Elephas maximus indicus: one gene and its partners. The protein of the gene in region 1 interacts with the protein of each later gene in a pairwise test. Links are inferred from orthologs where the notes say so. Each region holds a gene or a part of one and is shown in the gene's direction. Other genes may lie near its edges. The genes, in order: TFIP11; cytochrome c oxidase subunit 5B, mitochondrial; CCDC42; IL16.

Region 1 (7,509 bases):
CTGCCATCATACAGAAAGCACACTTACGCAGCCCTACGAAAGGAGGTTCACACGGCGAGGAGCTGGGGCCCGTTGCCAATGACCGGCACCAACTTGTCAGCTATGTCAGGAAAACACCTCGGAAGTGGATCCTCCAGGTCCGCTCAAACCTTCAGATTCACTATGGCTCTGGCCAACATCTTCACGGCAATCCCATAATACCCTGAACCAGCCCTACCCAGCTAATCCATTCTCAGACTCCTACCACAAAAGCTGGGATAATGTTCACTGTTATTTTAAGCTGCTAAGCTTCGAGGTGTGCTGCAATAGATAACTAGTACATTAAAAACAAACAAACCTGCACACCCATGTTTATTGCAGCACTGTTTACAATAGCAAAAAGATGGAAGCAACCAAGGTGCCCATCAATGGATGAATGGGTAAGTAAATTATGGTATATTCACACAGTGGAATACTACGCATCCATAAAGAACAGTGACGAATCTGTGAAACATTTCATAACATGGAGGAACCTGGAAGGCATTATGCTGAGTGAAATTAGTCTGCAAAAGGACAAATATTGTATAAGACCACTATTATAAGAACTTGAGAAATAGTTTAAACTGAGAAGGAAACATTTCTTTTGTGGTTATGAGAGGAGGGAGAATGGGAGGGTGAGAGGGTAGGAGAGGGGTATTCACTAATTAGTTGGTAGATAAGAACTACTTTAGGTGAAGGGAAAGACAGCACACAATACTGGGGAGGTCAGCACAATTGGACTAAACCAAAAGCAAAGAAGTTTCCTGAATAAACTGAATGCTTCGAAGGCCAGTGTAGCAGGGGTTTGGGGACCATGATTTCAGGGGACATCTAAGTCAACTGGCATAATAAAATATATTAAGAAAACATTCTGCATCCCACTTTGAAATGTGGTGTCTGGGGTCTTAAACGCTAGCAAGCAGCCATCTAAGATGCATCAATTGGTCTCAACCCACCTGGAGCAAAGGAGAATGAAGAACACCAAGGACACAAGGTAATTAGGAGCCCAGGAGACAGAAAGGGCCACATGAACCAGAGACTACATCACCCTGAGACCAGAAGAACTAGATGGTGCCCGGCTACAACTGATGACTGCCCTGACAGGGAGCACAACAGAGAACCCCTGAGGGAGCAGGAGAGCAGTGGGACGCAGACCCCAAATTGTCATAAAAAGACCAGACTTAATGGTCTCTCTGAGACTGGAAGGACCCTGGTGGTCATGGCCCCCTGACCTTCTGTTGCCCAGGACAGGAACCATTCCCGAAGCCAACTCTTCAGACCTGAATTGGACTGGACAACGGGTTGGAGAGGGATGCTGGTGAGGAATGAGCTTCTTGGATCAGGTGGACTCTTGAGACTATGTTGGCATCTCCTGCCTGGAGGGGAGATGAGAGGGTAGAGGGGGTTAGAAGCTGGCGAAATGGACATGAAAAGAGAGTGGAGGGAGAGAGCGGGCTGTCTCATTAGGGGGAGAGTAATTGGGAGTATGTAGCAAGGTGTATATAAGTTTTTGTGTGAGAGACTGACTTGATTTGTAAACTTTCACTTAAAGCACAATAAAAATTATAAAAACAAACAGACAAACCCATTGCTGTTGATTCCAACTCATGGTGAATCCACGTGTTACTGAAGAACTGCTCCATAGGGTTTTTTGGCTGTAATCCTCATGGAGGAGGCCGGCTGGTGCAATGATTAAGAGCGTGGCTGCTAACCAAAAGGTTAGCAGTTCAAATCCACCAGCTGCTCCACAAGAGAAAGATGTGGCAGTCCACTTCCATAAAGATTACGGCCTTGGAAATCTAATGGAGCAGTTCTACTGTGTCCTATAGGGTCGCTATGAGTTGAAATCGACTTGATGGCAATGGGTTGAATCTTTATGGAAACAGATAGCCAGGCCTTCCTTCCACTGTGTGGCTGGGTGGGTTTCAACCTCCAACCTTTAGATTAGTAGTCAAGCATGAACCGTTTGCACCACCCAGGGACCTAACTAATAACACAGGTCATCAGTAAATATTTGTTAATGAGTAACTACATGAATTAGGGAATGAATGATGAAGGCTGTGGTTCCTCAGCTTGCCTGTGGCTTTTGAGGCTGCTTGTTTTACAAAGAATGCCTCAGGCCTGTGACACCTTGTGTCCCAGCTTTTTATATGAGGATGGAGTTGTTACAAAGTCTTAAAAAATAAGTAGGGTAGAAAACATCTGTAAGGAACATATAAAGGGAAATCAAATGGGCTAATTAGCAGCTGATCTGGATTTTTAGTTCTACCAGACTCAGGACTGAATTTATGCTTTGGAACAAAATTCAAAATAAGAATAAACTATGTGAAAATGTATAATGTCACTGTCCTAGAAAAAGTTCTTGTGATAGACTTTAAATATATCAGCTTTGAAATGCCACTTATGGTTTGTTTCTATGGTACCAACCTATTTAAAGTTGGAACTGAGCAAGGATTTTCCCCCACCTCCCAGTCCTTTTGGAGGCAATATGGAAGCAGTGCCATATGGCAGAGGTTGTGCAAGGGGTGGTTAGGAGTGTGGCCTCTGGGGTGGTAATAGGAAGTATCTCTGAAATTTGAAGAATTGCAGAGATGATGTATGCAGAGAGCTTGGCAGTGTGACCCTGAACACACTGGAATCACTCTATAAGTATTAGCTCAACCGAGTGGACCCACATGGTGTGTGGCCGTATGCAGGGTATGCCAGGAAGAACACTGGCCTGGAAGTCTGAACTTCTGGGTTCCAGGCCTGGTTCTGTCTTTAAACTCACTGTGTGGCCCTTGGCATGTCCCCTGTACCAGGACCTCTAAGTTTCTTAGTGCTGCTATAACACAAATACCAGAAGTGGGTAGCTTTGAAGAATGGAAATTTATCTTCTCACAATTTGGGAGGCTAAAAGAGTGCCCCCACTCCCCCTGCCGTATCTCTGTGTCTAATTTGTTCTTTTTATAAATCAGAAGTAATTAGATACAGAACCCACCCCACTCGGGTATGAGCTAAGTAACAAAGAAAACCATATTTCCAAATAGGATTATTTCCACAGGTATAGGGGTTAGGATTCCAACACATATTTGGGGGAAGGGCGTAATTTAATTCAAAACAGGCTCCATGGCCTCATCTGTGAAAAGGAGAGGGATGGACCAATTACTGTCAGAGGACCCTGTCAAGCTGCTGCCAAGGAACCTTGTTGCTTGGCAACCCCCTCTGGGAAGGCCACGTGTCTGAGTACCTCGCTGGTAATCTAGGCACCGGCCTGGATGTCACTAAGTCCCAGAGTAATGCTTTTTCTGGGCAGTGACAGGAGACCAGGACTGGTATCACTCAGGGGCCTGAATCCAGATTTCTGGTCACCTTTTCTCATTTTCCCGAGGTTGGTCACTTTAGCCCAGACACCCTGAAAAAACCATGTTATCTTTGAGGGTTAAAGGGGTGTGAGATTGTGACTTCTAAATGCAAATAGCCACAGCTATTTACTAAGCTCTTGCTATGCCAGGGAGTCCCTGGGTGGTGCAAATGGTTAAAGCTTGGCTGCTATCCAAAAGGTCAGAGATTGAAGTCCACCTAGAGGCACCTCGGAAGAATGACCTGACGATCTACTTCCAAAAAATCAGCCATTGCAAACCCTATGGAGCACAGTTCTACTCCGACACACTTGAGGTTGGCATGCGCCAGAATCCACTGGTAAGCAACTGTCTTTTCACTATACCAGGAACTGTGCTAAGAGCTTTACATGCAATAATTAGTCCATTTTTGTCCTGAGAATAATCATTTTAGATCAGCACCTTCATTATCCCCATTTTACAGATGGTGGAATTGAGGTGAAGAGAGGTGAAGCAACTTGTCCCACGTCCCACCTCTAGGAAGCAGCATTTAGCAGCACCCCACACCTAGCTAGACCCATTGTACATTTATATTAGATATGTGAATGAATAAATTATTTATCAACCTGTTTGAAAGGAAAAGAACGGAACGATTTCCCGGAGAGAACACTTGGGAACTCTAAAGTTGGCTCATTTATTCCTGTACGCCCTCAAACTCCTTTATAAGGCAACGATTCTGCGCCCACGATGGTGCTTATACTGAAGACCTAAAGATACAGGAGACACAGTTGCGGCCTTCATTACTCCCATTTGAGGGCCGTGTACCGGGCTCCCTACTGTCTCACACTAATGCTCACAACTATCCTATGGGCTAGTCCTATATCCCCATTTTACAGATTCAGAATCTGGGGCTGCTTAGGCTGAGGTGGCTCGGCGATGTCCACATGGGTCATCGTAGGTGGGCGTCGCCGTACGAGGCAGGCACAACAAGGAGCTGGACATGACGGCAAAGCGGCCGCTCGGGGACCCACAAATCCCGGTTACCTTTCTAGTATCTCTGCCCCACCGCTTTAGAACCCCAAGACGTTCTGGCTTTCCACTGTTGCCATGGGAGCCCGCAAGCCGTGAGTGCCGCAGGCGTCATTTCCGGCGCGCCTGACTAAGTGCTTCCGGGTCCCGGCCGCCGGAGTGGCGCGTTGATGGTGTAGAACAGACGCCCGTGTTTGGTTCGCGGGACATCGGAGAGGTGAGCTACGTCGGGGAGTGGAAACGGGCTGAGAAAGAGCTGCGCCACGGGGAGTGGGGCGAGGGAAAGGCAGTCTTGGCCTCACCGGTGTAGGATCCCATCTCGCAGACGGCGTTGCCGAGGCCCGTAGAGGGACCGGGCCGCTCGATGTTACGCGGGAGTTGAGGCCAGGGCCAGGGCCGAGTCAAGAACCTGGGCCACCTCCGCGTAGCGTGGACAGCAGGGTGGAGAGAAGGCCAGGCTCTAGTTCGAGCTCTGTTAGCCGTGGAACCTAGGGCGTGTTGTTTCGCTCCCCCGTCTCATTTTTGTTATTTGAAGCGTGGAAACTTTAGTAGTATCTGCCTCGTATAAGTGTCCTGGTGCTTACGTTATGTAGCCGACCTGAAGTGCCCAGCAGGTACTTAATACCTACTGAGGGCGCTACAACTCGTAGCTACTCTGATTAGTACCGTGGTTGTGCCCCAGAAGCCAACGGTATAATTTACTCCCATGTATCTGGGACTCCCAGTCTCTTCCAAGAACATTTACCGCCTATGCACTCCTGGATGAGGTTGGGACCAGCTGCACCCGCAGCAGTGAGTAGAAGAAGAAGGGGGGAACTTTCTGACAGAGCTGAGCAGAGGTTGACACACTGCTTGTGGAAGTAGTCAGCAACTGGTGGAGAAGAATCACAGTCCCTGTCACTTATCGAATGTATTGCTATGCAGTGCACCATGCTTGACACTTCGTGTGCATTTAACACCCACACACTGAGTATTCGTTGGAGTTGAGATTTGAACCCTGGCTGTGATTTTAGCACCTGATTGATTTCATAATCACCTTCCTAGGTTCATTCTCTAATCCAATAATAGTAGCAATGATAAACTTAACCAGGGTGATGACTACAGCAGCAGCTATTCTTTGAGCATTTATTATGAGTTGAGTGGTTTTGGTGTCCCTGGGTGGTGCATATAGTTAGGCACTTGGCTGCTAACCATAAGGTTGGTGGTTCAAGTCCACCCAGAGGTGCCTCAGAAGAAAGGCCTGGCAATCAACTTTGAAAAATCAGCCCTTGAAAACCCCTATGGAGCATAATTCTACTCTGATACACATGGGGTTGTCATGAGTTGGAGTCATGTACGACAACTGACTTGGTTTTTTGTTTTAAGAGATTTTTTTAAGCTCCATCTCATTGAATACCACCTTATATTCTCTAAGGTTGGTACAGTAGCTAATCCCAGTTTCAGAAAGAGACAACCAAGTCCCATCACCCGGCCACCAAGAGGTAGAGTCTCTATTCCAATCCACATATGCCTGACTGTTAAGGTAGTGTTCTTAATTACGGCTGCCTTCCAACTCATCAGAAAAGGTTCATTTTTGGGAAAGAAAATAGAGAGAGATAACTCTAAGAGTCTGTCTCTTCAAGTAATTTATTTCAGAAAGTACATCCCCCACCCCACCAATAAAGAAAAAGTCACTCTCCTGAGCCCATGCCAAGAGTCCAGATACAACTATTTCAATAATTGAAAATAGTAATAAAATCGGGGGTTTGGGAAGATATTCACCCAATTTCTGAGGCAATAATATATAGAAGAACGTATTTACTTAGTTGTTTTTGTGTGGCTTTTGTATATATGTGGGTGAAGTCTTACAGCATTGACTAGGACAGAGAAATGCATATTTTTTAAGAATCACAGATGGTTGACATTAATCTTTTGTTTCACCTGTTGTAGTACTGATTGTTTCCTGAAATATGTCTTTAACTGTCCACTTTATTGAACAGTAACAATGATTTTAACAGACTTTGAGTTTCATAGAAGTTCTGAAGGCAGCAAGGAGCAGGGACTCACAGGAAGCCTTCCATTGCTGCCTCCAGGACTTTTCACAGACTCTGCCCTTTTTGTCCCTTCCTTTAGTGACGGGCCATGTCGCTGTCCCACTTGTACCGGGACGGGGAAGGCCACATGGATGAGGACGAGGATGAGCATGAGAACTTTGAGATCACCGACTGGGATCTCCAGAATGAGTTCAACCCCAACCGGCAGCGCCACTGGCAGACCAAGGAAGAGGCCACCTACGGGGTGTGGGCAGAGCGAGATTCAGATGAGGAGCGACCCAGCTTTGGAGGCAAACGGTACTGGCCTGCGTGGGGCTGGCTCTTCCTGCTTTAGGGAAGGAGAGATGGATGGAGGGCGCTGGGTAGACCTTGTGGCCTCTTGGAGTCCTTTAGGTATGTGACATCAGCTAGGGAGGTCCATTTTCCTCTTCAGGCGAGAATGCCGCTCTTGCTGATTGAGTCATTCAGTCAGTGTTTATAGAGCAGTTACTGTATGTCAGGCCCGGGCTACAGATCCATCTAGTGGATGGAGACAGGCATTAATCAACCCTTCACACAAACACTGGAAGTCTGTTACTGTGATTTCAGACCTGAAGGAGAGCAGGGTGTTTGACCTGTTCAGGGAGGTCAGGGAAGGTCATTCTGGAGAAGTGACCCTTGAGCTGATATGGAACTAGAAGGTAACTGGAGTAGAAGGAGAGGCAGGAGGATGCAAAGGCCTTAGATTGGAGGCAGCAGGGTATCCACAAGGAAAAGAAAAGGTTTTGCAGGCTGGAGTGGAGAGAGGGAGGGGGAGCATATGGGAGGGGAGGCCGGAGGTCAAGTCCTTAGGGGCCTGGAGGTGGTGGTAGAGAGAGTGAAGTGTGGTGCAGTCTGAAGAAGGCTCTTTTGCTGATGTGCAGAATAGGCATGGAGCTACAGTGGAAGTGGGAGCTCCGGAAGGAGGCCATGGCAGTGCTCTGCAGAGGTGGGGGAGGCCCAGGCTAGGATGGGGGCAGGGAGATGGAGGAGTCAGGCTCAAAGTCTCCCCTCCCTTCCTGAACACAGCGTGAGACCATGCGTGAGGGACCACAGCTCACTTGACAGGAGCGTGGAACTGATTTGGATTC
Region 2 (7,171 bases), on another chromosome or scaffold:
CAGTTACCAATAGTTTGTGTTGATGGAGCCGTTGGACTGTGCCGTGTGCTTTACGCGTGTTAAACTACTAAATCAATTTATGGATGAGGACACTGAGCTATGCAGGGAAATGGATCACTCGCCAACATCACAGCGATGGAAGGGAGTTGTGTCAAGATTTCTGAACCCAGAACAGACTGTAGCTGTTATGGCGGGCAGTCCAATCAGTTAAAAAAAAAACCCAAACCAAACCCACTGCTGTCCATTTGATTCCAACTCATGGCGACCCCATAGGACAGAGTAGAAGTGCCCCACAGTATTTCCTCTTTCTCTTCACCGATCACTTAAGACCTTTCCAGAGGTGAGGCTTTACAGGTGTATGTTTAGAGCACTCCACTAGTAACCACCATCCCAGTGGTTGAGAGCTTGGCTGCTAACCAAAAGGTCAGCCGTTCGAGTCCACCAGTTGCTCTTGGAAACCCTATGGGGCAGTTCTAATTTGTCCTATAGGGTCGTTATGAGTCAGAACTGACTTGACGGCAGGTAACAAAACAACAACATGATTGTTATTCACCACGTTTTGTCTTGAGAACAGATCTGTCCTGGGCATGTGTTTATGTGTGTGAGTGTGTGCTTTTGGGGATGTCATGTTTGTTCATTCACATTCAACAAGTGCTGGTTGAGCCAATGCTGTGCCTGACAGAGCTAGGTCATTTACACACATCATCCCTTTTTATCCCCTGCCGGTCATGCCATCAGTTAAAACCTATGCCCTATGGTTTGGGAAAGGAGCCCTGGTGGCACAGTGGTTAAGGGCTCAGCTGCTAACCGAAATGTGGATGGCTCCTACCCACCAGTTGCTCTATGGGAGAAGAGACCTGGAGATCTGCTTCCCTAAAGATTATAGCCTTGGAAACTTGATGGGGCAGTTCCACGCTGCCCTGTAGGGTCGCTATGAGTTGGAATCCACTTGAAGGCCCACAGTAACAACAGTGTGAGCGCACTGATTTTTAATTAGGCATCATGAATAATTAATCCACGATCTTCTTGGTGGTTCTCCAGGCAGGAGGGTGGTGGAGCTAAGCCCAAAGCCACCCCTGGGACTCTGGAAGCACCTACTTGGGGGCACAGGAGTGATGGGTGGAAAGGCAGTGTGCTAGTGTGTTGGCATGTCTTCCCAGCAACTGTTGCTGCTCGACCTTTACTTCCTTTGAGAAATTCCTCTAGGAGGTTGGGCTGGTTAATTTACTAGAGTTCAGGTTGTCAAAAGGGATATTAAAAAGCTTGAAAGTATCCCGCCTGAACTTGTTACTGTTCTTTGGAAAACTATTGCTGTTTTAAATGTTTTAAACATATATTGGTAGACCCATTTTAATGAGCACCATTTAAAAGTTTAATATATAGAAGCAGAGGCAGAGCCAACCCCAGGCAAAATTGAGAATAATAACCAACACAAGAATAACTCTTTTTCGGTGCACAAATTGCTTCCACAAACATTACCTCATTTGATTTTCACAGCAGGCTGGAGGGAGCTATTAGGTAGATAAATACCATCGAGTTGGCTCTGACTCATGGCGACTCCCGATGAGATGGATTGGCACAATAGCCACAATGATGGACTGGAACATGCTGGCAATACAGAGGGTGATACAGGGCCAGGAGAGAGTTTCAGTAAAGCCGTGTCCGCCCTTTGCTCCCTCAGGCCTGGAATGGTCAGAGCATCCCACTGTGGCCATCCCTGGTCCTCATCATCCCTGTGGCTCCCTCAACTCTGCCCTTGTAAACCGACCTTTACTAACCGTCTGTGTGGTTCAGTGGGCCCCTGAGGACTTAGGAAAGAAGAATCCCCATGGCTGGCCCAGCAGAGGAGGGGGAGGAGGGAGGGTTGGAGGAAGGAGACGGGAAGGAAGAGGTGAACCTGGGGGAGAGGGGAATGCTAGGATTTCCCAGGTGAATCTCAAGCTCCTCTTTGGAAGAATAAATGGGACTCCAGAGGACTGGGGGGAGGGTGTCAGTGGTGACAGAGGGTCTGGAAAGGGAAGGGTGGCAATTCAGGTTGTCTCCTGTGGGATGCACCCTTTACTGACCTGCTGGTTTACCAGGCTCCTGTTGTTTCTTTAAAAAAAAAATAATTAGAAACTTCCTCTAAGCCCCAGCTCCAGCCAGGCCCCATGCTGATAGGAGTTCCAGGTGACTCATTTTGGGTTTCTTGCATTTGCATAAAAATGTTGTGTTTATTCTGACCTGGCTTTTCAGGGGCAGCCTGCCAGGCCATCCACACCCCCCCTCCCCACCCCCCCCCACCCCCCTACCCCCCAGCCAAATCTGGTGGAGGTTCAGCCACTTCCTCACATCTTCCTCAGGCCCCCATAGGGGTCTTTTGGGGCCTGGTCTGTCCTTGCTGATTCAGGGTCCAGGCAGGCCTGCATTCAGCAGCTTCCTTCCACCACTACCGGTGTCATTAAGAACTGACCCAACACACACCTTCTGGAGTGGTCAGGGCCTTTGTGGTCCAGTCAGAGCTCGGAGCTGCTCCTCTGGGTAACAAAAACACAGACGAAGTTCGTTTTTGGATACCATTATTTCAAGTTTATGTGGCCTCTGCCCCAAATAAAAAATACCACGTGCTCCCACTTTCTTGTGATAAATTCAGTCAGAAACTGCATTTTACTCTTGATTATGGACCAGCCTTGGTCCATGGCGAGAACTCAACATAATCTTCCTACTATTCAGAGTTCCTGAAAATTAAAAGATAAACAACACCCCAAAATAAGAATATGATAGCCAATTTTCAAGATACTAATTTTATTTTTGAATAAATAATACATTTACATAGTTAAACAAAACTGAAAATAATACAAAAGGTGTGCAGGGAAAGTCTTAAAGCCACCCTTGCCGTCATGGGTCTAGTTCCCTCCACCAGTTGCCGAACTTTTGGTTAGCAGCCAAGCTCTTAACCACTGTGCCACCAGGGCTCCACAGACTTGAGAGAGAGGTGTTATTCCCATTTTAAAGAAAGTGAAACAACTCAGGCAAAAAGAGGTTAAGCAGTTTGCTGAGTGGCTGAGCCAGGCAGTTCACAGCAGAGGAAATGCAAATGGCCAGTAAACGTGTGAAAAGATGCTCAACCGTCTTAGAGGTACAGGAGCTGAAAACGTAAATACCACCAGCACTGATAGCATCATTTTTCACCAAACAGGTGGGCACACTTTGCAGAAGGCAGGTAACTCTCAGTACGTGGGAGTTGGTACTGGCTCTCATGTGCCTCTGCTGGTGGAAACATGAATTGCTCCAAACGTTTGGGAAAACAATCTGGCAGATTTATTAAATGTTAAACGTGTGCACCCTTTGACTGTCCTTCAGAAAATGAAAACTCCAGAACGTAAGGATACGTGGACATGCACTGCAGTGTTGTTTGAGTGGCAAAAAACTGGAAACAATCTGAATATTTACCAAGGGGAAAACGGTCGGGTAAATTATGTCACAGTGATAATATATGCAGCAATTATTGTACGCTGTTGAGTTGATTATATATTAAATCAGTTATGTACCATTTATACACTATATGTTATATCTATATGTATCTATAACTTATGTATTGATCTGGAGAGATGTCCACAAAATATTTTGTTAAACGAAAAAAGCAACTAATAACTTACATAGTATATATTTTTGTATTTTATATGTATATATTTGTTTAAAGGTATTTATTTGAGGATAGAGCCGTGATTCTCAGCCAAGAATACTCCACTAGGTCCTTTTAAAGTATCTTCAATACCTGCATGGGACAAGGAGCCCTGGTAGTGCAATGTAAGTGCTTGGCTGCTAACCGAAAGGGTTAGCGGTTTGAACCCACAGGCCCTTCTGCAGAAGAAAAGCGCTAGCAATCTGCTCCCCTAAAGATTACACCCTAGAAAACCCTACGGGGCAGTTCTACTCTGCCTTATAGGATTGCTTTGAGTTGGAATTGGCTCGATGGCACACAGTAACAACAACCTGACAGGTGGGAATGCCTGGGACTTCAATCGTCCCCAGTTTGCCTCATATTAATCTTAGTGGGCCAAGAGAAGTCCTACAAAATTGATTCTGTATATTCCTTCCAAGTAGTACAATTTACAATTTACATGCTGTCCTACAGGGTCGCTATGAGTCGGAATGGACTCGACGGCACTGGGTACTGGGATTATCTGCGGTGGAAACTCTGGTGGCGTAGTGGTTAAGAGCTCCGGCTGCTAACCAAAAGACCAGCAGTTCGAATCCACCAGGCACTCCCTGGAAACCCTATGGGGCAGTTCTACTCTGTCCTGTAGGGTCCCTATGAGTCAATTTACTCCATGGAACGGGTTTCTTTTTTTTTTTTCTCCCACAGCTCCGCTGCTAAGCAAAAAGTTGGCAGTTGGAATCCACTAGCTGCTCCTTGGAAATCCTATAGGGTAATTGCTGAGTCTGAATTTACTGGACTGCAAGGGGTTTGGTTTGGACGTTTTTAAATCATTCTAAGTTCAGCAAGTCTTTGGACAGACGCGATCGAGCACAACTATCAGGCAAGATGCACAGTAACTCCAATGGGATTGCCTCATTCTACACATAAGGAACTGAACGACTTGGCCCAAATCTTAGCGTTAGTAAAGTGCAAACCCCGAAAGCGTACAACCGAGACCACGGAGCCGCCCCAAAGCCACACCAGATGCCCGGCGGCCACCGACACGGCGCCGAGCATGCGCGGCAGAGGGAGCGGAGACAGGCAGGGTCGGGCGTGCGCAGTCCGTCTCTTCCACACAAGTTCCGCCAAAGTCACGTGAGTGGGCGGGCCCGGGGCGGGGAGGAAGCGGAAAGCTGACAGGACCGGAAAATAAGCCCACCACCGGAAGCCCCGCCCACTTGGGAGCGCCTCACGGAAGTGCAGCTGCTTGCCGCGGGCGTCATGGCTTCAAGGTTACTTCGCGGAGCTGGAGCGCTGGCCGCCCAGGCCCTGAGGGCTCGCGGTCCCTATGGGGTCGCCGCCCTGCGCTCCATGGCATCTGGAGGTACTCGGCCCGCCGGGCGCGCCAGGGGCCAGCGCCGCTGACCACTCGGGGTGGTGCTGGGGCAGCAGAGCGGGACCGGCTGTGCGGCTCCTGGGGGCCCCAGTGATCACCCCACGGCCCCGAGTGGTTCAGGTCCCGCGGGAGCCTCCCTGTGGTCCCGGGCCTTTGCCGTCGCCCACCGAACTGACCCCGCCGCGGAAGAATCCTAAATGGAGGCGTCGGGTGACCTTGGAGGGCCGGAGCCGGGCCGCCCTTCAAACCCGTGCCCACCTCAGGCTCGATGACTAAGTAGGGCTCTTACCAGGCTCCGTTTAGAAAAAGTGTGAAAAACCTGGCCTCGGGGTTGGAGGAAGGAAAGATTCTCAGTGCTGCCGCTTTTGAGGGTGATGACTTGACGGACCTTAGAGAACCTAGGATTTCCTTTAGGAGCTTTGAGCTCTCTGCAAATCTGCAAAAATTTAAGTGTGCATTTTCCTTTTGATCATAATTCGCTGTATCTTTTTTTAGGCGGTGTACCCACTGACGACGAACAGGCGACGGGGCTGGAGAGGGAGGTGATGTTGGCTGCGCGGAAAGGACTGGTAAGCAGACTTATTTACCTTTTCTGCAGCTCACGGCTTGGATGGGATCAGAGCAGCCTCTTCTCTGGAAGCATCCGAGCCAAGAAAGCTGGCTTGTGGGAACAGCCCCCTGAGCTCCTAGAGTATAGGGATCATTTGGCATAATGGCTCAATTGTTTTTTTGTTGTTGTTGTTTAGGATCCATACAATCTCCTTCCTCCAAAGGCAGCTGCAGGCACCTTGGAAGACCCTAACTTAGTTCCCTCCATCACCAACAAGCGACTAGTGGGTTGTATCTGTAAGTAACTTGGTACTGTTTTCTTGTTTGTGTAATACATCCTACTGTACAGGGTGCGTAACCATTCGCACCACCCAAGGACTCCGCGGGACATCTGTAAGCTGCTTCAGGTCTTCGTGTGAGTGTGGAAGTGTAAAGAGGATATGTATGTGAATAAGTTGTTCTAAACATCCAGGCCCCAAGACTCCTGCCTCAGTAGGTCATCCTTACTGGAAAGGGGCATGGGACGTCAGTAATACGGGTTTCCTGGAAATGTAGCATGAAGAAGGGTTATTCGTTCAGAAGGTATTTATTGTGTCTTTTCTCTGTGTCAGGCATCATTTCAGTACTAGGGAGGCATATCCAAATGGCCCTGGCTTTGGGGTTCTACTCGGCAAGTGAAGTTAGAACCTATAGTGACTCTGACGTGAAGTCAGTATAGTCTCAGGTAAATTTAGGGCCTCAGTTCCTTCATCTGAAAAATGGGGAAGAGAGCTTGAACTGATCTCAGATGTGAACCATCATTTTTATTTGGGTCTCAGGTTTTTGAGGAAAAGAGATTAATGGAGAAAACCTCCCCTTCCAGGCTAGACAGCCTGTGACACCGTTTTCCTTTCAGGCGAAGAAGACAACAGTGTTGTCATCTGGTTCTGGCTGCACAAAGGCGAGGCCCACCGATGCCCTGGCTGTGGAACCCATTACAAGCTGGTGCCCCACCAGCTAGCCCACTGAGCCCCTGCACCCACTCACTCTAAACGTGTTGTAAAGATTTCTTCTTCCCAATAAAGACTAGCCGTTGCGTTGGCTCCTTCTCCTGTAATTGATCTTATTTCTTGCCTGTATTTTTTGGGGAGGCGTAGATGATTCTTATGTAAGGAATTAGCTATCTTTTCTAGTTTCCTATAGACTTAAAATGCCTAATCAATACTGCTTGGATTAACAATAAAACTATGCCGATAATCACAAAATGCAGCGATTGGAACCATGTGGAGTTGTTGGTGGGGGAAGCATGGGCTTGTGGCATCAAGATGACCAGATTTATAATACTGGCTCCATCATTTAGCTGTGTCACTGTCGGCGTGTTTTTTGAGGCTTGGTTACATCTCAGACAAATACCTTGTGAGGTGTTAGAAGTAGTATTAATATATGTAAAGAACCTGGGAAATAGTAGGTCCTCACAGGGTGGTCTTGTAAGAAGAGTTTTGGGGACCTTGAAGTCTGGGGAACCCAGGTTCAAAGCATAGCTTATGGGGATACCATCAGCAAAATCCAGAATATGGGACAGTCCTGGGAACCAATGACTAGGTTTCATCAACAAATAAATTGAA
Region 3 (7,676 bases), on another chromosome or scaffold:
GTTTAGTTAGTTGTGTTCTTTGGAACTAGAAAATCCGATCCTAAAGTTGATCTGAGAAAATAAACTAGAATAGCCAAGAAGCTTCTGGAAAAGAAGCACACTGAGAGAGGACTATCCCTGAAACATATAAAAACACACGTAAAGCCTCAGTAGTAAAGGTGTGTGGACAGACAGGTCAACTGAACAGAGAGTGTCCATGGGGAAAAGCAGCACTAGTCCATAAATGGCTTAGGGACAGCTAGGCAGTCATCAGAAGGGAGGGAAAAAAAAAGTTTGATCCATACTATGGTAAACACCATACAGCTCAAAAATAAAAATGTAAAACACGAAACCCTAAAGGGATTTGAAAAAAACATGGGAAGACTCCTTAATAATGTTGTGATATGGAAACCTTCTCTAACTATGACTCAAAATCCAGATGCTATAAAAGAAAAGATTAAGGCATCTGACTACATAAAAATTAAAAAATTCTACAAGAAAAAAAAAAAAAAAACGCCTTAAGTCAAAAGACCAATAAAATAACTGGGAAAAGTATTTGCAACTCCTTTCTAATAAATAATGAACTCTTATAAATCTATAAGAAAACAGCCAACCAACCTAGTAGATTGGTGGACAAAGGAAGTTAGAGAGACAATTCATAGAAAAAGAAATACAAATGGATTGATCCAGAAATCCCACTTCTTGGAATTTATCCTGCCCATATGTGAAATGATATGTGAAATGATATGTATACAAGGTTATATACTGCAAAAAATTGGAAATAACCGAAATATCCATCAATAAGAGACCAATTAATTAAATTACAGAATATCCACATAATGGAACATAATGCAATTAAAAGAATGAGGAGACTTTTAATATATTGATATGGCAAGATCTCTAATATATATTATTAAGTTAAAAAAATAAGGAGCAAAACATTGTTTGTATGCTCTTTTGTGTAGAAAGAGTAAAAAATAAGAACATATTCCTATCTGCCTGCATTTGCATAAAGAAACTCCAGAAAATGCATAAAAACAGTTATTCGTGGGAAAGGTGTGAGAACTGGGTGGTTGAAAGAAGGGATAGTGATGAGGCTTTTCACTGTACACACTTTCTTTGAATTTTTGAACCACGAGGATAGATTATCTGTTTAAAACACCATATTTAAAATACTTTTCTATTTATCTCTGATATTCTTAAATTTCACTGTATATATTTAGATGTGTTTTTTGTTTGTCTCCTTAGATATAAGAATTTCAATCTCAAGTCTCCTCTTTCATACCCTCCATTTGTTTTTCCTTATGAAATTCCTATTATTATTTAGATTTGACATTTTTATTTCAATCCTCTGGACCTTAGCTTTTATTCTTTATCTCCTCCTGAAGCCTTCTGGAAGAGTTCTTAAAGATGGTCTTCTATTCATTAATTGTTCTTTAATTGTATCCATCCTGCCATTTAAAGCATCCATTGAGTTCTGTCGTCCACTCAGCTTTCCATTCAATTCGTTCTTCTCCATTCACGCTTGCTTCTCTTCATGTTCCCAACATCCTCCCTCATCTCTTTGAGGATATTTGTTATGTTTATTTTAAATTCTTATTCTATTGATCTGTTGGTTCTGTTTCCTTTGGACAGGTTGTTCAGTCTGTTATCTTTTATAAAGGTTGCCCCCCTCAGACATCTCATTGTTTTTCCTCATGAGCTCATGTGTGCTTGAGACTACGTTCTACCAACTACCTTGAACTGTCCCTGGAATGTTAAATGGCCTCCCTGCCCTGTTCTGCATATGTATGTATTCAGACAGCCTCTGGTGTTGCAGTCCAAGATCACCCACTCCTGTTTTGCCTCCCTTGACCAGGCAATACTGTTCCTCTGTAAACCTTCCAGAACCTTCCCCCCAGACATGGTTCTTTTCTAGGGGCTGCCTCCCTCTGTTGCAACTGCCTGCCCATGAAAGAGGGACCACTCAGGATTATCCAGCCTGAGTGCATTTGTGTCTGCTCCAGTGCTGCCCCCTCCTCACCCCACCACTCTGGGCTGACACTAAGTTGTCACTGGGATGATGCTGCAAGCTGTACAGTGAGCTTCCCAGGGCAATGTGCAGAAGAGAAAATGCCATGAGCTATCCACCATCCCTGGTACTTAGCCCTCTTCTGTTCTGGACTGCCATTTCTCACACACACACACACACACACACACAACCACATCCCACCACTTTCTGCCTCCCTAGGGTTTCCTCACAGTTTTTGTGTTCCGTTTGGTTAGCCATCCACCTCTCTCAGTTCTACAGAATCTCCAGGGACAGAAGCCCTGATCTGCAATCTTGTGGGAAACCTGAAGTTCACCTCATTTTTAATTGTGGCTTTTCTTAGTCTGCAGATGAAGCATAATCTTCAAGCCTCCATTTTTTTTTCTTCTATAAAGGAGACATTTGAAATAAACGATCTCAAGTTGTTCTAACTTTAAAATTCTGTGGTTCTGTGTGGCAAATGAAGTGACATAAAATATACCGAGATATTTTAAGACTACAGAGTTACCAAGGAAATAAAGAGGCACATGAGGGAATACCCACCAAGAGACAGTTATTAGCAAGAATGGATGTCAGGTTGAGAAAGTGGAGTGTCAATCAAGTTTCAGGGAACTAGGAGAAGGGGAGGATGTTGAGGGAGATACACAAGAGAAAGAGAAAGACACTGGTTAAAACAAGGTTTGGAGGAGAATCAGCAAATCTTGAGTATGACAAAAATAACTAACTACCATGGGGGCAGATGCAAAGATTTTTTTTTAATTTATTATGAGATATTTGAGACATAGGGAAAGGTGTAAAGAATAATGTAATGAACACTTGTGTTCCCAGTGCCCAAAATCTAACATATTACACATCACCAACAGCTTGCCCTTGGTTGACACCCTGGGTGCCTTCACCCAGCAACATGCCTTCTGAGCGGGATGACAGTGGGCAAGGTACTTAACCTCTCTGAGCATCCATCTTCTCATCCATAAATGGAGATGAAGATAATAACAGTACCTACCTTGAGGAGGTTGTTTTAAGAATTAAGTCAATTAGTGGGGTTAGTACTGTTAGTTCTGTTACTATCATTTATTCAGATGTTAAGTGCGCACCTTCATGGGTCAGAATTGTGCCAGGCTCTGGGGACAAACGATCAGAGAAACGTACTCTTCAAAGAGTTTACGGTTCTTATTGCCGTCGTTGCTCTTACCCTACTGGTTCTGACTCTCTAGGGCGCCCCGGGTGGAGAAGCCATCTCTGGTTTAGGGGTTTGTGGGGGGTGGGTGTTCTGGGTGGGAGGGGGGCTGTCCTGCTGTCTCTCCTGAGCCCGCCAGGCTGACTGAAAGCGACCGGGCTTGTGCTTCTGGCCTCAGAAATCCCCACTAAGCGGTCTATTCTGGGGAGGAGGTTGAGGGGAGGATGGAAAGGAGGAGGGTGGGGGGTGGGCAGCGCCCCTCCAGCACGTCTTTTCCTCCCCACGGGCGGGTGGCCAGCAGGGGGCGCCAGAGGACCAGCAATGCCGCTGAGAGGGCGGTTGCTGAGCTCCCTTCACGACGGGTTCGAGACCCCCACCCCACATGGGCTTCCCTTCCAGACAGAGAGCAGAGCCAGGACGCGTGGCCCGCGTGGGGCAGAGGAAGCCGCGCGAGAGCATCGAGGGAGCTTGGGAGCCTGTCCGCGGGCAGGAGCCAGCGGAGGGCCGGCCTGAACCTCCCAGCCGGGGTCTGCCACGGAGACCCAGGGCGCCTGCCCCACACGCCGGGTCTCAAATCTAGACGCTGAGCCTCACGGCCATATGAGTGCATGCATTTACCCTGACAGGGTCGAGGAAGGCAGCCATCACAAAGAAAACATTTGATGTGTGAAATATTCATAACCCTGCTTCGACATGTCTCCAAAATTTAATAATCTAAGAACTTCAAAATGAGGCACTGGTCCCGAATCTCTTGCCCCCTCCTCCACACCCTTGTTGGCCATATCTCTTCAGTCCCAGGCTTCTTGCATAGCCTCACACATCTAGACCGCACACACATCCTTCACCCACTAGCTAGTTGTCAACCTCAGGCCTCCTCCCACCTTCAGGAATCTCCAGCCCCTCTCCTGCACATCCCCAAAGGCCCATGTTTCTCTGTCCACCCTCACCCCTACCTCAGCTAAGCACCTCTTCTTCTTTCCTTTCTTATTTGCTATCTGTCAAAGGCTCACCTGAACCTGGGCGGGAGGCCTAGGAGCAGGGGTCCCTCAAAAGGACAATCCCATTTCTCAGCCAGGACACCCCGGCCCTGCCTCCCAGGCCTGGGCACCACGGCAGTACCTACTGAGGCCTAACTTCCTCCCAGAGTTCCCGAGGGGTAAGGGCAGGAGTAAGGAGCAGGACCCCAGCAAACATGAGGCCAGGAGGCAGAGGGCTAAGCACGAGTTCTGCGTGTAGTCCACAGAACCAAGCAGCCTGTTGCTAGGTAACCAGAACCTCACATCACCCCCCACAACACATCATCTGAGCCAGGGATTCTGTCTCCAGCTATCTTGGGCAGAGTCTCTCAAATACCTACCGCCCCTGTGGGACTCTGAAAGCAGGAGAAGAGAAGAAACCAGAGCCCAGCCACCACCCCTTGGGATCCGCCACCCACTATTTCACTGTGAGGACCCAGCTGACTGGGCCGTGAGGGCACCGCAGCCATGAGCCTGGGAATCATGGAAGAGGAAGATCTGGCCGAGTACTTCCGGCTGCAGTATGGGGAGCGGCTGCTGCAACTGCTGCAGTGAGTGTCTGAGAGCCCGCCCCATCTCTCTGTGCCTTAGACCACCGACCTATGCCTCACCTTCCTGCTCCCAGCCTGTCCCCGCCTCCTCCTATAACCCAGGGCTCCAGATCACCCTGACACCAATCCCCCCATCACCCTGCCTCAGCTCACTCTCCAAATGAGCACGCCTCTCTCTTCTCCACACCCCAGACCTTTCACTCAGGTAGGGGAGACACCCCCTTCCCTCCCCATGGGTATCTCTCTCCACTGGTTACTGCCCAGCCCCAACCTGCCTCAGGCACCCAGAGCCCACAGGCCCCTCTTGCCGGTGTCTTGGGCAGGAAGTTCCCCTCCACTGAGGAGCAGTCGGAGTCCCCATCCATCCGGCTGCTGGAGAAGAAAAAGGAGGCCAAGATCATGCACCATGCTATGGAGCAGAAGAAGGAGGTGGGCCAAGGGGACAGGGTGCTGGGGTGCATGTCTCTTCCCTCTGGGGAGAAGAAAAATGATCCGAGTCTCTGGTGCTATTGTTGTCCTGGGGTGCTCTGCTCCAAGCCAGCCATGGGACAGAGAGGGAGAGGTCTCCTATGAACCCTTCCGGGCATGGGAATAGCAGTTCTGGGCAGGGGATGCTGGGACCTTCCTCAGTACACATGTCTGAGGCCCTCTTGACCACTCTCCTTTCCCCACCCGCAGACATTTAAACGCAGGATGGAGGCCTTGAACCTGCGCTGGGAGGAGCTGGGCATCAAGGAGGCCCAGCTGACGGCCCACATCCAGAAGTTTGAGCAATTCATCCAGGTAGGTAGCGGTGTGACCTACTGTGGCAGCCAGTGGGACTCACACTCTGCTGTCCAGCAAACTGCCTTCCCTCCCTCCTCATCCCCCTAGCTTTTGCTGACCTTCTCTCCCTGGGTTCAATGGCTGGCTGTACTCCAGCAATCCTGATGCTTTCCCCCTTCCAATCCCTCATTTACAGCTCTGTTTGGAATTTCCTGTTTACCTGCCCCTTCTAGATTGCTGTTTCCTGTTTCCTTGCCAGTACCTAGTGAATGAACAAATGAATGAATATATCAGAATCAGGGCTGGGCCCTTGGGAATACAAAGATGAATAAGACAGGACCCATCCTTGCACTGAAGGTCCAGACAGGAAATGGTCAGAGGAGCAGGCACCAGAGTTCACTCCCAGACAACCCCTCTCAATGGGTCCTTAGAGGAGGGATTTAGTCATCTTAAAGTCCAGCCAGCACTTATCAAACCCTTAAGGGCCTGGCCCAGCTCCAGGGGCTCGTTGCTGCCCTTGGCCATAGAGGAGCCTACTCTTAAGCATCTTCCACCATGCTTGTGCCTAAACCAGACAGGAAAAGAAGCTGGCTGACTGGGGGCCAGTCCTTTTACTGACCAGAAAAAAGCTCATGGAGTGGTTGGAGCAGCAGGAGATTTGGGGGTGAGGGGTCCTCCAGATGGCTACTAGAGGACCAGCAGCACTGAGGTCCCTGAGAGTTTGTTACAGACGCCTGGACTCTCTTCTCTCCTTGCTTTCAGCAGGCGTGAGGTCAGTCCCAGGCATCTGTATTTTTACCAAGCTCTCCAGGGGTTACAGATGTACAGTCGGATTTGAAAACCATTGGCTTAGGGCCCTTGTCCTCTCCTGGGCTTAGGGAGCAGAGAACAAACCCCTGAGCACCTTCCTTCATGCCATCCAAATGCTGGGACCACACATGCCACCCATGGGGAATCAACAGGGCCCCAGGGAGGAAAGGGCCACACAAGTGCTGGGAGAGGGGTGGGTTTGCCTCCTACATCTTGGAGGGAGGGTTTGGCCGTAGGAAGGAGAAGGCAGGACTGGACACATTGCAGTAGCTGAGCCTCATGTCATTTTGGGTGTCAAATTGCCTATGCCATCTTCTCCAGCCCTGGCCTGGTGCCAGTCTGAGCCCCTAGGAACATGCTCCCTGGAATGCCTTATCCCCTCCGGTCCCCTGGACCAGGCCCATTGTCTGCCTCATCTCCCTGTAGTTCAAGGGCTGCTACCTCAGCTTTTGGAAGAAAAAGAAGGGCCACTGCCTTTCATTTATATAGTTGGAAAAACTGAGGCACCAAAGTTGGGAGAACATTCGGGCCTCCCAGCTATGGGCCCAGGAATTTACCCCATGACAAACGTCCACCACTAAGAACAGAAACAGGGGAAGCTTTGTCAGAAGGTTTGCTTCTGGAAAGTCCACTTCCGGGCCGTCTCACCCTTCCCCAGGGTTGAGCTGTCTCCAGAGACTGAGACGTGGGCCTCCGCATTTGGCCCCCTGAAGTCTGGAACTCCTCCCACAGAATCAGAATCATTTCCCAAGGCCACCTCTTAACTTGGGTCTAAACCTCCCCCCTCACAGCCTTCTGAACCCCAACTCACTCCACAGAAACCCCGTCAACTAGCTGCAGATAAGTTTGTAGACCCTTTTCCTGTGTGCCTCCTCTCCCAGTGGGCGGCCCAGCCTTCCCTGCCCATCCTCAGAGTGTCCAGAACTCAGCCAACCGGCCTTGCGAGGGCACCAGGGGGCTGAGGGCCCCTCCAGCCACTGGCAGTTCTGACTGGTGCCCCTGCTCCGGCCCCAGGAGAATGACCAGAAGCGGATCCGCGCCCTGAAGAAAGCCAACAAGGAGCGAGAACTCAAGAGGCAGCGCATGCGGGAGTTGGCCAAGGCCAAGCAGGAGATGGCAGCTCTGCGGCTGGAGCACCAGCGGCTGAGCTGCAAGCTGCAGGACTACTCCATCTTCAACAAGTACCTGGAGAGGGTGGTAGAGAACTCTGAGGTGAGTCCTGGGGTCGAGTGGGGAAGAGCCTTGGTGCCCACCTCAGCCGCACCTCCCCTTCCCCAGAGTGTGGGGCTATGGGTGGCATTTCAGCCTGAGCTAGCTGGGATTTAGGAGCTCCTGGGGGCTCTGTGGGA
Region 4 (7,653 bases), on another chromosome or scaffold:
ACAGAAAGGATGGAAAAAATAGACAATCTTCCCCAGTGTAGGACCCCCTACATTCTATCCCTTCTCTTATAATTTGAGATTGCAGTTGAGGTTGTGCCATTTAAGCCCATTCGCACTAACCTGGGGTTGGGGGACGTATTTCAAGAAGGAGGAGCTGTTCGTGGAAGCTTGGTGATCTGGTGGCTTCTGCATGGAGCTGGTGGTGGCCAGAAACTCAGACATCAGTGTCAAGGACCTTCCATCTCAGATATATCTGCATGGGAACCTCAAACCAAGAGGCTGAAAAGCACGTGTTCACAGCTTTTGCTTAGCTTCACCACTGCTGCAAACGTGGGAAATTCACTCCAAAAGACATGGTGTCCAGTTAGCAATTCCCAACGCCCCTCCTTTGATTTTCCACCAAAGCCCCTGGGAAGACACAGGATAAGATACAAAATGTCATCAACGCAGAACTTGGCCTCTGGGATGTCTCAGGAGCATGCTGGCTGGTTAAGAAAATCATTCAACAAATATTTCTTGAGTGCCTACTATGTGTCAGTCTCTGTTTTAGGCACTTGGGATAAATCAGTGAACCAAACAAAAACCCTTTCCTCATCGAGAATACAGTCACCGCATCTGTGTATTGCTCTGACCTCCCAAGGACCCTTGTCTTGTGCTGTCAGTTCTGACTTAGGGTGACCTTGTGTTACAGAGTAGAACTACTTCATAGAGTTTTCTTAGCTGTAATCTTTATAGAAACGGATCACCAGGTCTTTCTTCCAGGGCACTGCTGTGTGAGTTTAAGCTGCCAACTTTTTGGTTTCCAGCTGAGCACAAACCATTTGCACTACCCAGGGGCCTTCTCCAAGGACTAGGACTTCAGACAGACAGACAGACACACACACACACACACACACTTTTTTTTCTAGAAAGCAAACCTGTTCCTTTTGGAAAAAACAATTAGGAAATACAGAAGAGAAGAAATGAAAAAATAAAAAGTACCCATAAGCCCATTAGCCAGTGATAACTGGCTGGCGTATAGCTGATAGGCTATTTACAGAAAAGATCAGATGTACAAACATGTGACCCTATTTCTCTGTAACCAAACTAACCCTTTAAGCCCTTATTTCCACGGATGATGGATAATTTATTTTGCCAATTTGGAGTAAATGTAGTCACTTCGATTTAAACTCCCGTCTCCTCTGGGTAACTGCTCGGTCAGTTCAGGGTTCTCTGCCTGCTCCTTCTCCTCAGGTGCACTCTGGGCTCGGCTTAGGGGTACAATGTACTACGGTGATGCTGAGGAGGGCGACGTGGCTCCCGCTGGCCTCTCTGCTGGCACTCACTGCAGAAGGAGCCTGTTAGCTTTGTCTGGAAGGTTCCATCCTCACCACATCGGCTGCCAAGGCGTCCGGTTCTGTGATCCATGCAGCTCACTCTGCTTCCTCCTCATCCAACTGTCAAGGGCTCCCTGGGTTGGCTGGCACGTTCTGGCAATTCTGGGTTCCTCTCCAAGGCACAGGGAATTGCAACTGTACCTTTACCTCCTCAGCAGACACAGAAGATTGTCCCAAGACATTTGTCTAATTATCCCAGGTGGACAGTTCTATTCCAGGTGGGCTCAGGGCACACAAATGAAGCACCTTCCTCCTGGAATTCCAGACAGGAAGTGGGGCACAGGTCCCTGGCTCTCCTGTCCCCAGTGTGTGCTGCCCTGTCTCTTGGTGCCAACCTCAGGAAGAGGCACAGTAGATGCATCCTTCTAAGGCCCCAACCTGTGCCTTTTGAACCTCATCCTCCTTCCAGTTGGGCAGACTTTTGTCTTTTTTTTTTTTTGGATTAAAAGAACAAAAGAGCTGCTTTTATATCATCCTACGTTTTTCGCGGATCTATGGTTCATGGTGTGAAGTTTGTACCCTGAGTCCTCCAGGCTCTGCTCTTCAGAGTCAAAGACAAGCCTCTGACATCAAAGAAACCAACGAAATAAAAATAAACCTAAGTGTATTCATTTCCTATTGCTGCTGTAACAACTTAGCTTGAACTTAGTGCCTTATAACAACATGAAGACATTACCCTACAGTTCTGGAAGTCAGAATTCGGAAAGGAGTTTACTGGGCTAAAATCAAGGTATCTGCAGGGCTGTATTCCTTTCCGGAAGCTTTAGGGGAGAATCTATTTCCTTGCCCTTTCCAGCTTCTAGAAGCTGCCTGCATGCCTTGGCTCATGGCCCCTTCCTCCATCTTCAAAGCCAACAGTGCAGCATCTTCAGATTTCTTTCTGACTTCCTCTTCTGCCTCCTTCTTCCACTTTAAAGGGACCCGTTTGGATTACATTGGGCCCACCCTAATAGCCCAGAATAATCTCTTTTTTTTAAGGCCAGCTGGTTAGCAATCTTAATTCCATTTGCAGCCTTAATTCCCCCTGGCCGTGTAACATTGCTACGTTATGTGAATATGCTTATTCACAGGTTTTGGGAATAAGGATGTGAATATTTTGGGGGCGCCATTATTCTGCCTGCCATGCCAGATAACAATTCCTTTCTCCAAGGCTAAGTGCGTGTCTGTCATCCAAATCCACGGCTTTCAAGATCAGAGTCACAGCTATTGATTTAACGATGTCTACATAGGAGTTCCAATGCAAGTGATCTGACTTAATTTTTTTTTTTTTAAGAGATGATGTGAATTGAAAGCTGGTGCGTATTATGCAATACATTGTTGCATAACAAAACACCAATTGCTGCGTGGGGTAACATAGTAGATTTTGGAAAACCCAAATGGATGTTGGAGAAAAAGACAACTCATGGGGAAAAAAACCCCTCAATATTACATCTCCAAAGTTCACTTTTTTTTCAAGTATGTGGATCATACTATACACTTCACTTTGTACCTGATTTATTTATTTACCTAGCAATACAACGTAGACATATTTCTACAACAATAAATATTACTTTATCACATCATTTTTTCATGGTGGTAAAGTATATATACAAAAGATTTGCATCTCAAACATTTTTATAAGCACAGTTCGGTGGCATTAATTGTGTTCACTACTGTTTCCAATCTTTTTTGTCACCCTTAACAGAAACCCAGTGCCTCTTAAGCACTTGCTTCCCTTATAACATCTCTCTCTCTTTTTTTTTTACATTTTGCCTCTTAAGCACTTGCTTCCCTTATAACATCTCTCTCTCTCTTTTTTTTTTTTTTACATTTTTTATTGTGGTAAACATGTACGTAGCAATACATTTGCCATTTCAGCAGTCTTCACATGTACAGTTCAGCCTATCACGTCATCGTCATTGCCTTAGTAGATTAAACCCATCTCCACTGTTGCTGGAACCCTGGTGCCGTAGTGGTTAAGAGCTTGTCTGCTAACCAAAAGGTCAGCAGTTCAAATCCACCAGCCTCTCCTCAGAAACCCTATGGGGCTGTTCTACTCTGTCCTACAAGGTTGCTACGAGTTGGAACTGACTCCAGGGCACCTAACAACAACCACCATCACTGTTGCTGCAGCTGGGTGCTCCTTAAACAAAAGGCCAGTTTCTGGCCCTCAAGGTAAGCTCACGGCACAGCCGTGGCATCCCGAAGTTCATGGCCTGGGCAGCTAACTAGTTAATTAGAGGAAGGTAGGGCTGGCCGCAGGGAAGTGCCAGCTCTGGAACCCGGTCCACCCTGGGATGAGGGTTGCTTTGGGGGAGCTGTTCGGACTCCAGGTGCTGATTGCAGAGGTTTTGTTTGTTTGTTTGTTTCTGGCAACCTGCAATATTGCCTTGATAAAGGATGATCTAAGGCGTGCGTGTGCATAGGTGTGTGTGTAGTGGGGAAGGGGTGGGCGGGCGGAAGCCTCACAGTGACTTGGAGGCGTGTTGATGGATGGTGAACCTGCAGCTCTTCAAAATCCTGAGTGGCGGCAATGACACAGTCCAAGAGTCAGTGGCAGCCAGAGCAAGGACCTCTTCCAAGAAGGCCTGGGGCACTTCTCAGGTGACAGGTAACTCAGGAACAGAACCAAGGCCGGTTTCGCTTGCTTCTCAGTGAAATTTTCTCTTTCTATCAAACAGAGCAGGCCTACCTCCAATCCAATCTCCTATAGCTGTGTCCAGAAAATCGTCACACCCTTCAACGTGTGAATGTCCTCTTTCCCCGTTTTTAGCCGTGACCATTTCGCCACCTACTGTATATTCTTTTGGCTTTTTTGGTGGGGACCCAAGGGCATAGGCGGAGGCTCATTTTACCCAGCAGTCAAAAATCGGTCATTTAAAATAATAGTTCATCTTGTCCAAGTCCAAAAATAAAACCTCCTGGTATGAGAAGGCAAGCAGGCAAAACTGGTCTGAGTGGGCTGAAGGCGTTTGCTATCCCAGTCACCAGGGCTCATGTCCCCTTTTCCATAGTCCCTTCTTGTCCTGCCTTGGGCAGGAGTCAGAGCGCCTTCTGTTTGTCTTAATTAAAGTCAGCTTCCACTTGCCCCCCAGCCCAACTGCCCTTCCCGGGACACAGGCTGCATTTACCAGGAGTTGCTCTGCCCAAGCCCTTTGCAGATTTTATGAAAGGCGTTTTCAGTTGGATGAAACAGGCGCTGTGTTTGTGTGTGGCGTGTATGAAGGAGAAAATGAATCACTGCAACTCTGGGCAAGGGTTTTAGGTGTTGTGTTTGTCCCTTGCAATTACATAAACACACCAAGAACTCATTTAGAAAAAAAAAAGTCGGGAGGGGGAGCCGAGTTTCGAGTACTTGGGACGATCTAAACAGTTTAGCACATTTTCCATATACATTAAACCTCAGAAGGAGTTGCGTTCTGCCCTCTCGTAACAGACTCCGAGTCCAGAGGAATGTTTGAGGTTTTACATTTCTGTTTGTGGTACAGGAAAAGGGTTATGATCTGAGGGCTTGATTCAGTGAAATAACATTGCCTTTACACACATTTGCTTCTCAAGGAGGGCAGGAGTTGGAAGCGACTGTTCTGAACGTTAAAGATTTGTTGGCAGAAGGGGAAGGGATTTTTTTTTCCCCTCCCTGTGGAGGAGAAACAGTTCTAACGAGGAGTTACTTTGTAGTTTTTAACTCCTATTCAAATACTCTCAGTCATAGAAGCTGCCGTTGGTCCCCCACGACGGTCTTGAATCCTGGTTTGGAGGGACTTTTCCCGCTTTCCCTCATCCTGGAAACCCGGAGTCATGAGTTTGCAGAAGAGAGTTTTCCTGCCATGGGAGAATGGTAAGTGGAGCTGCTTCGCCTGTCTCCCGGGGCTCATGGGAGGTGGAAACGGAGGATTTGACTTTTCCTGACACCCTCTCGGAGGCATGAAAGCATGGTTTTGGTTAAGTGGTATAGTGTATGTGTGTGTGTGTGTGTGTGAGTGTGTGTATGTGTACACGCACATGTAAGTGTGTGATTGTTCATGCACACACATGTGGGGCTGTGTGTGTGTTATGTGTATGTGTGAGAGTATGTGTGCACACATGTGTAGTGTGTGAATGTGTGCATGCACGTGTGTGTGTGTGTGAGATGCAGCCGGGCACAGTCCCTGCTGTCTGGGGTGTCCTTGCAGAAATTAGCTGTGTGCTCACTGTGCTTGCAAAGGGGTGAGCCGAGTATCGCAGGACCTCTTGCGGGGGGCGGGCGTTGAGAGTCAGCCCTGGACAAGGCAGTGGTTCCTACAAGCCCCCACTTTCTCTGGGAGTGCCTAGGGCAATGCTCAGGGGCAGAAGCATCTGTGTTTCACTGCTGTAGCTGTCAGGATCCCCACCAGCTCTGCTCGGCTTTCTGGCTTGCTTTCTTCCGGCATGAAGCAGAACAGAAGAGGGAGCTGCTCAGCCCCATGGGGAGAGCGGAGTGCAAGTCCCTGGAGCAGATGGGACCCTTGAGCCTCGCAGACCTGAGAACTGGGGGGGTGGGGGGATCCCGGGAACCCCGGCCAGGGTCCCTCCCTTCCTGCAGGTGTAGCCCCACTGATCGTTCCTTATAAAAGCCTTCTTCTTTTGCTCCCGAAACATAAATGAGCAGGCATCAGAGAAAAGGATTTGAACCCCGTTGCCCAACTTTTAAAGTCGACACTGGCAAAACTTCAGCTCTGTTGTAACTTTGGCATAAGAGAGTAAACACATGGTTTTCTTTAAAAAGGGAAATGAGGCGAGTCGGAGGCACATTCTGACGTTTTCAGCTCCAGGGAGATACGGCGAGAATCCTGGATCCATTTGGTTTGGTTGCATTAAACCATCCTCTGAACTCTGAAGGAAGGCAGTGGAGGGTGGGGACTGGGAACCAAGACTGGGGATCTGGCCACCTAAGGGTGAACCTTAGCTCTGAGAGTAACCCACTACTTGATCTTCGGGATCTTTTTAAGCCTCTTCTATGGCTCAGTTTCTTCATTTGCAAAATGGGGATAATAAATTCCTACCTTGCAGGACCATAAAAGCATTCAGTGAGGTAAAGCTTGTGCAATGCCCCGAACTGCATCTGTACGACAGAGGGAATATGTCAACACCCACAGGCAAGCTGCTCTCCTATTTTGACCCAGAGCCACCATCACACAGCACCCAGAGCAAAAGACTACATGAGGGTGCAGTGTAGCCCAGGGCCTCTCCCTCTTGCAGAAAGTGGAGTAAGCACTTGGAATGTCTCCTTTTGGAGACACAGCAATGCATTTACTTATACTGAGGAATCTTCCAGGGCAGGACTTGGCCTGGTATTTCATAGGTGCTCAATGTTTGGTGAATGTGTTTTATTCACTTTTATTTATGGGGAGGTTGTGCCATTTCCTGTACCTGGTTGCGTGCCTGCCCTGGGTTGGGCTTCCCTGGTAACAGACTAAAGCAGAGATTTGTGCGGAGAAAGCTGACTGGACAGTGTGCTCAGGAATAACACTTGGGACCGGGAAAGAGGCAGAACTGGACAGGGGGAGAAGTTGGGCTGTGATGCTGTTGTAACATAGGCCTCAGCTAATTCTATGGGGTTTGGCCCCTGCATTGACCTCTTATAGGATGTGGGCTGCCCCTGGGGCCAGAGCACAGCCTTGGGCAAGGCAGGTCTCTTTGGCTGAGGGTAGTTGTTAGAAGAATTGACACATTTGATTTGTAGTGTTGGTGACAAATATTAAATATACTGTGAACTGCTAGAAGAATGAACAAATTGGTCTTAGAAGAAACAGAACCAACAAATACAAATGCAATCCTTAGAAGTGAGGATGGTGAGACTTTAGCTCACCTAATCTGGACACATCATCTGAAAAGACCAATAGCTAAAAAAGGACATCATGGTTGATATCTTGGTCATCTAGTGCTGCTATAACAGAAATACCATGAGTGGATGTCTTTAACGAAGAGAAGTTTATTCTCTCACAGTCAAGTAGGCTACAAGTCCAAATTCAGGACACCAGTTCTGGGGGAAGGCTTTCTCTGTCAGCTCTGGAGGAAGGTCTGTGTCATCAGTCTTCCCTTGGTCTGGGAGCATGTCAGCAGAGGAGACTCAGGTCCAAAGGACATGCTCTGCTCCTGGCACTGCTTTCCTGGTGGTATGAGGTCCCCATGTCTCTCTGCTTGCTTCCCTCTTTTATATCTCAAAAGAGATTGGCTTAAGACACTATCTAATCTTGTAGGTCTCATCATCATAACTGCCACTAATCCATCGCATTACATCATAGTGATAGGCTTTACAACACATAGGGAAACCATACCA

Evidence for each region.
Region 2: the proteins of TFIP11 (region 1) and cytochrome c oxidase subunit 5B, mitochondrial interact in binary tests that used the Homo sapiens proteins (3 or more experiments, as listed by UniProt). The two-hybrid records come from large-scale screens. The link is inferred for Elephas maximus indicus from reciprocal best matches to the Homo sapiens genes TFIP11 and COX5B.
Region 3: the proteins of TFIP11 (region 1) and CCDC42 interact in binary tests that used the Homo sapiens proteins (3 or more experiments, as listed by UniProt). The two-hybrid records come from large-scale screens. The link is inferred for Elephas maximus indicus from reciprocal best matches to the Homo sapiens genes TFIP11 and CCDC42.
Region 4: the proteins of TFIP11 (region 1) and IL16 interact in binary tests that used the Homo sapiens proteins (3 or more experiments, as listed by UniProt). The two-hybrid records come from large-scale screens. The link is inferred for Elephas maximus indicus from reciprocal best matches to the Homo sapiens genes TFIP11 and IL16.

What each region holds. Positions count from the first base shown.
Region 1 is NC_064840.1:30,359,739-30,367,247, forward strand, and holds the start of TFIP11 (tuftelin-interacting protein 11), read left to right. Parts: upstream 1-4,506; 5' UTR 4,507-4,584; intron 4,585-6,479; 5' UTR 6,480-6,488; coding exon 6,489-6,697; intron 6,698-7,509. UniProt on the Homo sapiens protein: Involved in pre-mRNA splicing, specifically in spliceosome disassembly during late-stage splicing events. Intron turnover seems to proceed through reactions in two lariat-intron associated complexes termed Intron Large (IL) and Intron Small (IS).
Region 2 is NC_064835.1:88,116,740-88,123,910, reverse strand, and holds cytochrome c oxidase subunit 5B, mitochondrial, read left to right. Parts: upstream 1-4,839; 5' UTR 4,840-4,903; coding exon 4,904-5,006; intron 5,007-5,513; coding exon 5,514-5,587; intron 5,588-5,764; coding exon 5,765-5,864; intron 5,865-6,462; coding exon 6,463-6,575; 3' UTR 6,576-6,667; downstream 6,668-7,171. UniProt on the Homo sapiens protein: Component of the cytochrome c oxidase, the last enzyme in the mitochondrial electron transport chain which drives oxidative phosphorylation.
Region 3 is NC_064837.1:11,978,468-11,986,143, forward strand, and holds the start of CCDC42 (coiled-coil domain-containing protein 42), read left to right. Parts: upstream 1-4,669; coding exon 4,670-4,752; intron 4,753-5,075; coding exon 5,076-5,181; intron 5,182-5,430; coding exon 5,431-5,535; intron 5,536-7,341; coding exon 7,342-7,539; intron 7,540-7,676. UniProt on the Homo sapiens protein: Essential for male fertility. Required for sperm development.
Region 4 is NC_064831.1:71,286,607-71,294,259, forward strand, and holds the start of IL16 (pro-interleukin-16), read left to right. Parts: upstream 1-4,642; 5' UTR 4,643-5,153; coding exon 5,154-5,193; intron 5,194-7,653. UniProt on the Homo sapiens protein: Interleukin-16 stimulates a migratory response in CD4+ lymphocytes, monocytes, and eosinophils. Primes CD4+ T-cells for IL-2 and IL-15 responsiveness. Also induces T-lymphocyte expression of interleukin 2 receptor. Ligand for CD4.